3 linked regions of the Ovis aries genome follow. The protein of the gene in region 1 binds, or shares a complex with, the protein of each later gene. Links are inferred from orthologs where the notes say so. Each region holds a gene or a part of one and is shown on either strand. Other genes may lie near its edges. The genes, in order: NUP107, CETN3 and NUP133.

The links.
Region 2: NUP107 (region 1) and CETN3 share a complex: the UniProt entries of both Homo sapiens proteins name them as parts of the nuclear pore complex. The link is inferred for Ovis aries from reciprocal best matches to the Homo sapiens genes NUP107 and CETN3.
Region 3: the proteins of NUP107 (region 1) and NUP133 are in contact, whole or in part, in a crystal structure (PDB 3CQG), measured with the Homo sapiens proteins. The link is inferred for Ovis aries from reciprocal best matches to the Homo sapiens genes NUP107 and NUP133. Residues at the interface, in NP_065134.1 of Homo sapiens: Leu875, Gln876, Ala878, Asp879, Val881, Ser882, Ser883, Glu884, Tyr889, Lys894, Leu897, Arg898, Leu900, Leu901, Gln902, Arg905, Ser908, Leu909, Leu912, Asp917, Pro918, Leu919, Tyr921; in NP_060700.2 of Homo sapiens: Trp937, Leu938, Ile941, Asn942, Gln944, Leu946, Tyr963, Ala965, Lys966, Lys968, Thr969, Leu970, Gly972, Leu973, Lys975, Leu976, Ala977, Leu979, Ala980, Ser981, Asp982, Ile992, Glu999.

The regions. Positions count from the first base shown.
Region 1 is NC_056056.1:151,262,251-151,265,902, forward strand, and holds part of NUP107 (nuclear pore complex protein Nup107), read right to left. Parts: intron 3,588-3,652; coding exon 3,475-3,587; intron 2,906-3,474; coding exon 2,803-2,905; intron 2,216-2,802; coding exon 2,055-2,215; intron 1,442-2,054; coding exon 1,316-1,441; intron 937-1,315; coding exon 823-936; intron 1-822. UniProt on the Homo sapiens protein: Plays a role in the nuclear pore complex (NPC) assembly and/or maintenance. Required for the assembly of peripheral proteins into the NPC. May anchor NUP62 to the NPC. Involved in nephrogenesis.
Region 2 is NC_056058.1:87,600,230-87,603,981, forward strand, and holds the start of CETN3 (centrin-3), read right to left. Parts: upstream 2,403-3,752; 5' UTR 2,276-2,402; coding exon 2,259-2,275; intron 280-2,258; coding exon 144-279; intron 1-143. UniProt on the Homo sapiens protein: Plays a fundamental role in microtubule-organizing center structure and function. As a component of the TREX-2 complex, involved in the export of mRNAs to the cytoplasm through the nuclear pores.
Region 3 is NC_056078.1:1,013,848-1,017,499, reverse strand, and holds part of NUP133 (nuclear pore complex protein Nup133), read left to right. Parts: intron 1-110; coding exon 111-245; intron 246-851; coding exon 852-1,022; intron 1,023-2,719; coding exon 2,720-2,875; intron 2,876-3,150; coding exon 3,151-3,221; intron 3,222-3,652. UniProt on the Homo sapiens protein: Involved in poly(A)+ RNA transport. Involved in nephrogenesis.

The sequences.
Region 1 (3,652 bases):
CATAATCATGTTCCATTACCTCTGAATGTTTCAGAGTTTATTTCCTAACAAAGGGATTTTTTTTCCTAATATAGTCACACTGCAGTTAATGACTTCAGAAAATTTAACAGTGATATAATACCAACATCAATGACTCAACACTGTCCTTTATAGCATCTTTTTTTCTCCAACACAGGATCCAGTTTAGAATCACATATTGTATTTAATTGTCATATCTTTTGGGGACTCATTAAAAGGTTTTTTTGTTTTGTTTTAATACAACCTTTAAAGGTTATAATCCATTTAGCTATTACAAAATACTGGCTTTACTCCCCATGTTGTACAATATGTCCTCATAGCCTACTTTACACCCAGTGATTTGTACCTCCCACCCCACAACCCCTATGTTGCTCCTCCTTCCCTCTCCCCACTGCTAGCCACTAGGGGAATCAACCCAGTATTTTTTAAAAAGTTCTCCAGGTCATTTAAATGGGCAGTTCAGAGGTGAGAGTCCCTGCTTTATGTATGTCTTACTCACTCTACTAGACTTATCTTCACCTCTACAGACTGAGTTGAATACATGAATAATTGATTTTTGGTCCAGAATTTTTAAAAATTAGATTTTACTATACTATACTGACTGAACATATTAAATGTGGAGAAATAGTTTACCCAGGAGTCAGACATTCATATATTCCCTAACTAGTATTCCAGGTTAGACTTAAATTATGGGATGTTCAGTTATAATATAGTACAAAGGTAATACAAGATCTGTAACTGCTCCTATTCAGAGAAAAAACTTAAAAAAAAAAGATGTAGCTTGTAACAATGCACAGAGCTTACCTCTCTAACATCCACCATCCACCCTCCATCAACAAACAACAAGACATTGTACATTTTTTCCTTCACATCAGCAGTTAGGGCATCCAAATGCCCTTTCCAAATACCATAATCCATCTGGAAAACAGATATAAGGCAGATATATAGTGGACTATAATATATTTGCAAAGTACAGAGATGTACATATATGGAACATCATTCTAAAGAACTGACATTCAGTAAGCCAAATACAAAATAAACATCAACAGACTGCAGTTCAATAAAACACTAAAATGTTTACCATGTAAATGAACATTATTGTCACTTGAAGGTACGTTTCATGTTTGGTTAATTATCTACAAAAAGGTAACTAAACAGATTTCTTTCTTCAAAGTATAACAGTAATAAGGAAGATCAACTCTTATAATGGGAATATAACTGTTGAAGAAATGATCTTACATATATGACTTGTATTTCTGAGATGCAATGAGACATGTCTCATCTACATTTAACTTACCTCATATTTCTTTTCTTTGTGTTCATGAGCCACTTTCTCAGTAAAAGTTGCTTGAGTTGTCAAAGTAGGTTTTTGTGGAGCTGAATTCATATGCTTAAACCACTCATTAAAGGTTTCATGGGCTTCCTAAAATGTAAAGTAAAATAGAAAAATACAAAAAATGAAAACTTTTCACATATGTTCAATACAATTTTTAAAAATTTGGTTCTTAGAATTTTGCAGTAGTAAGAAATAAAATTGTTCAATATTTCTTTTTTATACAAAAAAATTACAGTGAATAAGTATTTTGTTTGTGATATTCACGTGCTTATCTGTGTCCTTGATGAACCTATTAGCTTCCAGAGGGAAGCAAAGAAATTCAGACTCAGTCCTAAAACCTAGCTAATCACTTTATTATTTGTTGAATGAATTCTGAATGAGTATGTTGTTATTTTAGTCATAATATAGATTATCTTGCTTTTTTCAGTTGTTGCCAAAAGCAGAAATGCTAAAGTTAAGAATTCAAAGAATCTTAAGAAAACACATGGTGTGTTGGTTAACAATGATTAGAGGCTCCTGCACATGAAGACAAGGTCAGGACTTCCAAGTTTTTAGGGATCAGTGATTCCCACAGTCACAAGGGAGGTAAGATAGTAAGTCAATCACCACTTTTCAAAAAAGTAGTTTAAGGTTTGAGAGTGAATCAGGTTTGAAAGTCATCATAAAGACAGGCACTTCGTGGTTTTCTCTACAATCTCACCAAGTAAGCTCTGATGCACAAATGTTCTCGGATAGCGTTATCATCTTCAGCAGGAAGTGGGCTATCCATTCCTTGTTCCTCCCACTGGTTATAGATTTCTGCTATTGAATCCTGAGGAATTTTCACAAATACTTCTTTTGCAGCTTCGTGCTTTTTTGAGGCTGGGAAAAAGACATATAGTTTTTCAATATACGTGGATTTCTGTGTAGTGGCTTCTAAAGGAGTCAAATTATTAGTCTACAACTTTCACCGTGGCCTGTAACCATTCAGGGCCCAAGGTACTTCTTTTAAAGGTTTGGGGGATCTTTCTACCTAATGGCTGGGCTTTTCCTTATTTCAGTGTGACAGTCACATGAAGGATTAATTAAATGTAGTTACTTTTGTTTTCATTATATATTTCAATTTTTGGCTGCCCTGCATAGCATGCCAAATCTTACTTCCCCAACCAGGGACTGAATCCAAATCCACTGCAATGGAACACGGAGTCTTAAACACTGGATCACCAGGAAATCCCACAGCTACTTTCACATACTATGTCTTAAAAAAAAATTCCATTTTTCAAAACCTTGAGATTATATATAAAATTGAGTGGGACATAGTAAGTCACTATTAAATATGTTTTGTTTCACAATATCAGCCATAAAAGTGGGTATTTTGTACCTTACCCTACTGGAAGGGTTAGAAAAACAACAAAATTTAAGAACAGAAAAAAAAAAACTTTGTAAAAATAATATAAAATAGAGCATACCCAAGAATTTCCTCATTATCGCATTGCCTTGTTTTAGTGCTTCTGCTCTCTGTGCTGGGTCGAATACCAACCAGTCAATTACATCAATTTTTAATCGGTCTTCCTATTCATTTAATTGGAAAAAAAGAAATGTCAATTGTGCTTTTTCCCTAAGATATTCTACACATTAATAGAACTGGCTTACATCTGTACTACTAATGATTATTTTCCTTCAGGTTACACAAAATTATGAAAGAAAATAGCTTTTCTTGGTTTATTTTCACATTTAATAGCTCTATATCTGATGTGCCACCAATTTAATTATCTGATTCCTTTAAGTGCTATTCTACAACCTTTTCTTTCCTAGATAAAACTTTCTATTCTTTTCTGAAAATAAGGAACAATTAAACTACATAAAAATTAGTTAACTGATCAAGTATCTAGAATAATCAGATGAGTAAAAATTCAATGCTCAGGTTTTTACTATTAAAGAAGCTTCCTTTAACATAAAACTACTACTAAGCAATTCCTTACACAAGACTTAAGTTTGCTGACAATTTTTATAACTTGGCTGACAAAGAAAAACTCTTTAAAAAATAAAGAAGCCAGAGTATTTTAAAGTAGACATTTAGAAAAAGCATAACACGAGGGATTATTCAGTCACATAATACACCTCTTGTACCCTCATATTACCTCGGTAGTACCCGTATCCAAGGCTGGGGACAGGTCATGATGACTGAATTCACCATCATCTTTCTTTCGAATATTCTCAACTACAGTTTTTGTTATAGCTGCAATATCCAAATCTAAAACATTTTTTGAAGGGACAGAAACAAGAAATTACTCATTCACACTAATATTCTTTAAATAA
Region 2 (3,752 bases), on another chromosome or scaffold:
ACTCAGCTTAGCTTAACAGTAAATGTTTAAAATGGTTTACATTTCCAAAACCAGTTCAATTAAAATATTTAGAAATGCATTTTTAATCAGTGGACAAAAATGCAAAATGTTTTAATAGAAAAGATATATTTTAAGTGTATTACCTTTAATTCATGATAATCTATTGCTTCATCTTTGTCTGTGTCAAATAGTTCAAAAGCATCTTTAATTTCTTGTTTCTGTTCTTCAGAGAGTTCTCTTCTTTTTTTCCTCTTTGTTTTGTCTACTACAAGGTCATTTCTATGGAATGATAAGAAAAAAGTCTATTTAGTCCACTTTAATCCTATTGTCATATGCTTCTAAATGATAAAATTCCAAAAATGCAACAAAAAAATTAGCCAATGAATGTTTTAAACTTCTAAAAAGTATTTTATAAAAAATTTCCTTACATGAATCAAAGCCCTGCTCAATCCATTGTCTAAGCTGCTTTAAATTTGTACCTCCCTAAAACTGAAAAGTTTTACAGTTTTAAAAGGTTATTAAAAGAAATGAGGACCTAGCTTTTCCTCTTCCTAGCTTTGTATTCATTCCCACTAATATTACTGTGGAAGAAACAAGAACTGTGAAAAAGAAACAGTTCTGTCAGAAACCCCAACAAAAAACAAACACCCATACTTATTCTCATCATTCTACAATACAGACTGTTTTAAAAAATAAGAATTCAATTCACAATTGTTGATCTCTATATATTAGGTTTACTTTCATAGTGCTTAGAATTATCAAAATTATTGCCAAAAAATCTAATTCATCAATTAATTTACAAACTATTTTGGCACAGTTTAGACTAGTATTTTTAGACTACACATTTTAAACTGGCACTTTTTTGTAATTTCTCCCATTGATATTAACAAATCAGCCAAAATAATGAACGTAAGCATACCACGAATATCAAACACCAAAAAAGTACTTAATATTTGTGGTATTTTATTTATATATAAGGTGAAGAGTCAACTGTCTCATAAATCTCAGCATGTACATCTAGACAGTTTGTCACAAACTCTGAAAAAACTTAAAGTACAAAACGTAATTTACTCTAAAAACTAGAAATGTATTCCTTAAGAGGTGCCAATATAAGCATTTCAAATTTTCATATGGGGCTTACAACACTTGTACAAGCTTTGAAACAAGAATTCTATAAACTTTAAAAATGTAAAAACCAGTTGACTTTTCTTTAATTCTGTGAAATCTACTCTAAAAAGGCAAGAGATGACTAGAAAATGACCAAATGAGGTTATGATAAAGCTCTTTCTTTCACAAGAGACCTGAATTCACAAAAACTTGGAAACTCCGGGGGTTATTCTCTTCCCAAGATTCCGACCAGACCAAAGTTCACAACCCACCGACAGTAGACCTCATTTCCTCGTCAGAACTCGCTTCCTTTTTACTGAAGCGTAACTACATAAACACTTTTAAGGTAAAACTTTTAGTTGTGGTTGGGAGAGGGAGCAACAAACAGTGGGTTAGAGGTTGGAAATGAATGAAAAGTAAAATCAGAAAATTTAGGAAAGCTAAGAGATTACCAACTAAAATCACTAAAAGGGGCCTCTGATTATACCCTTTTGCAGGGCCCCAGGAGAAAGAGGAGAGGTTTTGCGTTGTTTCCAAAATTTACGGGTAAATATGTTAGTAGGGGGCTTCCCAGGTGGCTCAGTGGGTAAAGAATATACCTGCAATGCAGGAGACGCAGGTTTGCAAGATCACCTGGAGGAAGGCAGGGCAATCCTCTCCAGTACTCTTGCCTGGAGAAACCCACACCCAGAGGAGCCTGGCGGGCTACAGCCCATAGGGTCACAAAGAGTCTGACACGACTGAAACGACTGAGCACGCATGTTAGCAGAAAGTCGGCCGAGATGGAAGCCGTGGACAAGGCACTGAACCAAGGGATGCTCCAAGGCCTGGTTTCCCGGTTTCTCGCATAAACACCGCGCATTGAAACCTCGCGATATTTCCCTGCCTCCTCAAGACTACCTCAGCCCGGCTTTTTGGCGGTCTAAAGCCAGTGCCCTGACAGAAATGACCGCCTCAGCTAAAGTGCAGAGCTCACCAGGGCCCCCAAGGGGAGGGGTCTGGGCCCGGGAACGTTGACCAAGGATCCCGTCCCTCGTCCCAAACTGCATTCCCTTCCTCGCTTCGGCCCCCAGCTGTTTCCCTTCCACACACAACCGCCCTGGGGCCCGCTGCGAGGTGTGGAGTGCATCTGCCGTCTCCTCATTACCGACCTCAGAGCTAAACTCATTTTCTCTTCGGACTGAGGCGTTCCTCTCGAGAACGATTTTAACCCCCTACCCAGAGCAGCAAGACTTCCACAAGCCGTTCGACAGACGCCAACGACCCTCAGCGGTCTCAAAAACCTCCCACAAAGCAAGACACTCCTGAGCTGGATTGGTTGAAATCGCTAACGTCCTGCCCATTGAGGCGAAAGCGTCACTTGTCCTCTGCTCTCATTGGTCTTATTTCACGTCAATCAAATAGATCTCCCTGCCGGCATCCCCTGCTACGCCTCTCCCCCTGTAGATTGGCCTGTTGCTTTCCGCCCCACCCCCACGCCCCACCCCAATCCTAGAGAAGCTAGGACTCAGGTGGGAGGTGGCGAGCTATGCTTCTGACCAGAAAGGCTGTGGCATGTGGCCCAGTGTCCGGAGACCCGGTGGAAAGGGAAGGGATGAGATACGCCGCAGGCTCTCCTCCGGCTAGAAGGAGGGAGCGGCTTTCGAACTGTGTCTGCGAAACTTGACTCTACTGTATTGTACATTTTTGGATGGTTTGAGTACATGGGGAGTGTGTTTAAAACGCAGATTTAAATATCACTCATTCTAATTTCTAGTAGGTGTGAATCTGCATTTTTTTATACAAACTTCAAATGATTCTGAAGCAGATACTGCGGATTATATTTTGATAATCACTGAGTTGGATTATTAGGCTATTTAAGGTTGAAGCTGTACCTAAGGGCCATTTGCTCCCCTATTCCTCCTTTGAACTGGTTTGTTCGTTTTTGTCCTTTATTTTCGAGTGCTGTAAGCTGCTTATACTCATGATGTTATCTTCACCACCAAACGAAGTCTCTTAAAGCTCACTTGGACATTTAATATCTTTACTGTTCATCTCTCCTACTAATCTTAAAAGGCTTATATCCTTCATTTAACACTATTCCTAGTGCCTAAAACAATGTATGATTCGTTGTAAATGTCTGATGCCTCTGCTCCGTAGATATTTGTTGCATTAAATGGAATCTTGCTGTGAAAAATCGCAAAGTACTGAGCTAAACTGCAAATCTCAAAAAGGAATGAAATAGCCAGAGAGTAGGTGTCCAGTAACAGAAGAGGGAAGATATTGATATATAAAACTGTGGCATAAATATAAAGAGATACATGTACACGTTTAGAGAAGAGAGAGAACACAGAAGGTATAAGAAAGACTTCTTGAAGGAGATGGCATATATGTTAAGCCTAGAAGGATGAGCTAAATTTGGGTAAGTAAAGATGGTAAAAACATCCACTTCCACTTTATTGACTATGCCAAAGCCTTTGACTTTCAGATCACAACAAACTGTAGAAAATTCTGAAAGAGATGGAAATACCAGACCACCTAACCTGCCTCCTGAGAAATCTGTATGCAGGTCAAGAAGCAACAGACTGGTACCAAATCAGGAAAGGAGTACGTCAAGGCTGTATATTGTCACCTGACTTATTTAACTTATATGCAGAGTACATCAT
Region 3 (3,652 bases), on another chromosome or scaffold:
ATTTCTGTTCATGAGTAATGCATTGCCCTGGTTTCTGTATGTCAGTGTCGTCAGACCGCCGCTTTGGGCTCCTTTTCTTGTGTTTGCTGAGTGTTATGATCTTGTTTCAGGCTGTTACTGTCATGGTTGCCACCAGAGAAGGATCCATCCGCTATTGGCCAAGCCTTGCGAGTGAAGATACCTACACAGAGACGTTCGTAGATCTGGGAGGTGATAAGACCTATAGTTTCCTAACAGCAGTACAGGTATACGATGGATATTCTTCTATATTTATTGGGAAACTGTCATTTGGCTTGGAATTCAGGTTTGGCTGACTAAAAATTTGTGATTTCGAGCAGATCATACAGGTAGGGCTGGGAGAAGATCAAAAAGGAGGCAAGGAAAGAATGTAAGAGTCTAGGATTTGAGCACTTAGGCCGAGGGAAGCCCTTCTCGTGGGACTCTGACCTGTCAGTGGAGCATAGTAGCCAGTGGTATTCGTTTCTGTCAGAAACATCTTTAGAGAGTGATTCAGAAACTCTTAGAGGAAGACTGGTTTGCTAATGCATATTCTGCTGGTTTACCAAAGAAATAAAATCTGATTCTTAATTTGTTGAACCTATGTAATGTGAACCTATAACTTAAAAATCAGAATTTAAAAAAAGTAATTAAAAAAATGGCTCTGAAGTTTTTCTGTGTAGTATTAAGTGAATGGATTCATAAATTATTTTTTAAAAATAGCACTGTTCTTTTTTTATTCTTTAGATTTATGTTGAGGTACAGATAATTTCCCTCGAAGCATATCAAAGTGATTTGTGTTCATTTTCTTTTCTTAGTCTTAAATACTTAACTAATTTCACATTTGTTCACAGGGAGGAAGTTTTATTTTATCCTCATCGGGGGGCCAACTAATCCGCCTGATACCTGAAAGTATAGGAAAAATCCATCAGCATGTCCTGCCTCAAGGACAAGGCGTGCTCTCAGGAATTGGTCGGAAGGTTTCTTCTCTTCTGGGAATCTTATCTCCTAGTAGTGATCTCATTGTAAGTTGGTGAAATGACTGTTTTACTAGCTTGTTTCTTAATGAAATCAGTAAGTTGGCAGTCTCCTATGAAGTTAGCGTTGCCACTGTATGTACAGTGGTGTATGTGAGATGAAAACTTTGATCTTTCAGTGAGGCATTTTTATTATGATGATTAGATGAGTTCATACTAACCCTCTTGCATCCTCTGTAACATTAATTATTCTTAAGTTTTATAGATTATCTGGTAAGCTCATTTTTTGAGTTAAAACTATGATGTAAAGTTATAAATGTGTTCAAGGATTAGTTTTGCTTTCTAGACGTAACCAAAAGTGTGCTTTCCACCCCCGAGCCTCCAGCTGTCTGTGTGGATGATGTCTGCTGGGCTGTGGCTCAGACTCTGGAGTAGTGAGTGAAGATGCTGGGAACTAACATCTTCAACTAACTGCACTAACAGAGCAGTGGGGCATCTGCTCTGCCAGGAGCCCTGTGTGTGTTATCTCCTGTAATAATTGTGATCCGTAATATATAGAGCTTCATGTCCCATTTGTGTTAAATAAATGGGGAAATGGCCTCAGTGAGGCTACCAAAATTGCCCAAAGTTCAAAACTGCTCAGCGACAGATGCATGCCCACATGTGTGTGAACTGAGAGCACCTTCCCCCGCCCCCGACTTTTCTGAAACATTTTATTTTATAGGCGTATAGCTGAGTAGCAATGCTGTGGCAGTTTCAGGTGGACAGTAAAGGGGCTCAGCCATACATACACGGGTAGCCATCCTCCCCCAGACTCCCCGTGCACCCAGGCTGCCATGTAACACTGAGCAGAGCTCCCTGTGCCATGCAGCAGGTCCCTTTGCATTAGCCCTGCTAAGTACTGCAGTACCACATCCTTTATGAAGTGGGGCTCTTCCCTCTGATTTCAGGTTGCTGTCATTATCTGCTTCCTTAAATGGTCTTTGAACGTAAGCTTTAACATGTCTAGAAGAAAATTGCTCGTGTTCTCTTCTCTCCTATTGACTTACAAAACTCATTTTTCTTTTGACCTATTTCTAATGGCACTGTCACCTTTTTCAGAGACCCAGGTATAAAATCCTGGTTGTGTGTGTATGTGTGTCTCCCTCTCTTTATGGGGCAGAATATTTACCAGCTTCTCTAGATTTGAGACATAGTGACAGGAAAAGTGGAGACAAATAGGGTTTTAGTTCAGCAGTCACATATACGCAATTTTTAAGTTGGGTTAGATGTGTTCTTCAGAAGCAAGGGAGATGAAGTGATATAAACGTGTGGAACTACACACACCCCTCCAGATTCCTTCTCCTGTAACAAATCTCTTGTGCTCACAAGCTATGGATATTATCTCCTTAGCTTACTTGGTTTACAAACTGACATTCAAGACTATGCTGTGTGTGAGCTTCAGTTTTGCTTCTTTCCTAGCTATAATCCACATTCTAGTTTAGCAGGACTGTGTTTTGTTCTTTAAAGAGCCTCTGACTTTCCTGCCTCCCTACTCTGCTCTTCCTGGGCCTTCTGCCTGTGAAAATCCTCCTTACTCTCAAGGTCTATTTCAGGATCACTTCTTCCCCTGAATCCTAAATGAAGAATTCTGCTAGGATTACTAATCAAATAGCTATAAAATATATGAATTTTTAATTTCAGGAAAATCATCACTGACACTAGAATTTAATAATCTATAAACTTTTTTTCTCCTCTCCATACAGCTTTCAAGCGTCCTCTGGGATAGAGAGCGAGCGAGCTTTTATAGCCTGACAAGTTCAAACATCAGTAAATGGGAATTAGATGATTCTTCAGAAAAACAAGCACATAGTTGGGATATAAATAGAGTCCTGAAGGAAAACATTATTGATGCTATCTGGGTAAGGAACAGTAACATTCATCTCTGTCATTTTTATTTATATAAAATTGCTAGTTCTTTTAGTAGAACGCATTTCAGTCATCAGATAAGCAGAGTATTCAATCTTTAGAAGTATTGGGACTCACTGGTTTACTTAATTTTTTAAATGCATACATTATTCATTCAATAAGTTTGACTTACTGTGGATGAGGCAGTTTAGTAGGTGCTGGGGATATAAAGGTGAAAAGAAATGATTTCTATACTGAAGGAGCTTACATTGTTGATATTTTCATGTAGGGATCTGAAAGTAACTATGAAGCTATTAAAGAAGGGGTCAACATTCGGTATTTGGATTTGAAGCAAAACTGGTAAGCAACTCATTTGTCATGCAGAGCATAGGTAGTTGTTTGGAAAAACAGATTGGTGTTTGTTATAGAATAATAAGCACCCTTGCTGTCTGTTCTGATGTGTCTAACCCTAATCTTATATTATTCCGCCTTATTGAATCGCTTTGTTCTGTCTGGCAGTGCTAATTCGTTTCAGAAGTGTTGGCAGTTTTCGGCCTTCCACTGAGTGTCCCATTAGCTGTCTGCCCTTGTTAGGGATCATCTGTTCTGCTCGAATAGCTGGAGCTCCTGAGAGCTGCCTGCCCTGCTGCTGGTTGTGTTCCATGCTGTCGTCTCTGCTGACTCAGTGGAGGTTCTGGGGGCTCTTCTCCAGTCCTTTTTTTGTTGCTGAAGGAGCTTTGGCCTGAGTTTGTGGCTGTGTTGAATAAAGGAAGGATGGGTGAGGTTTTGTC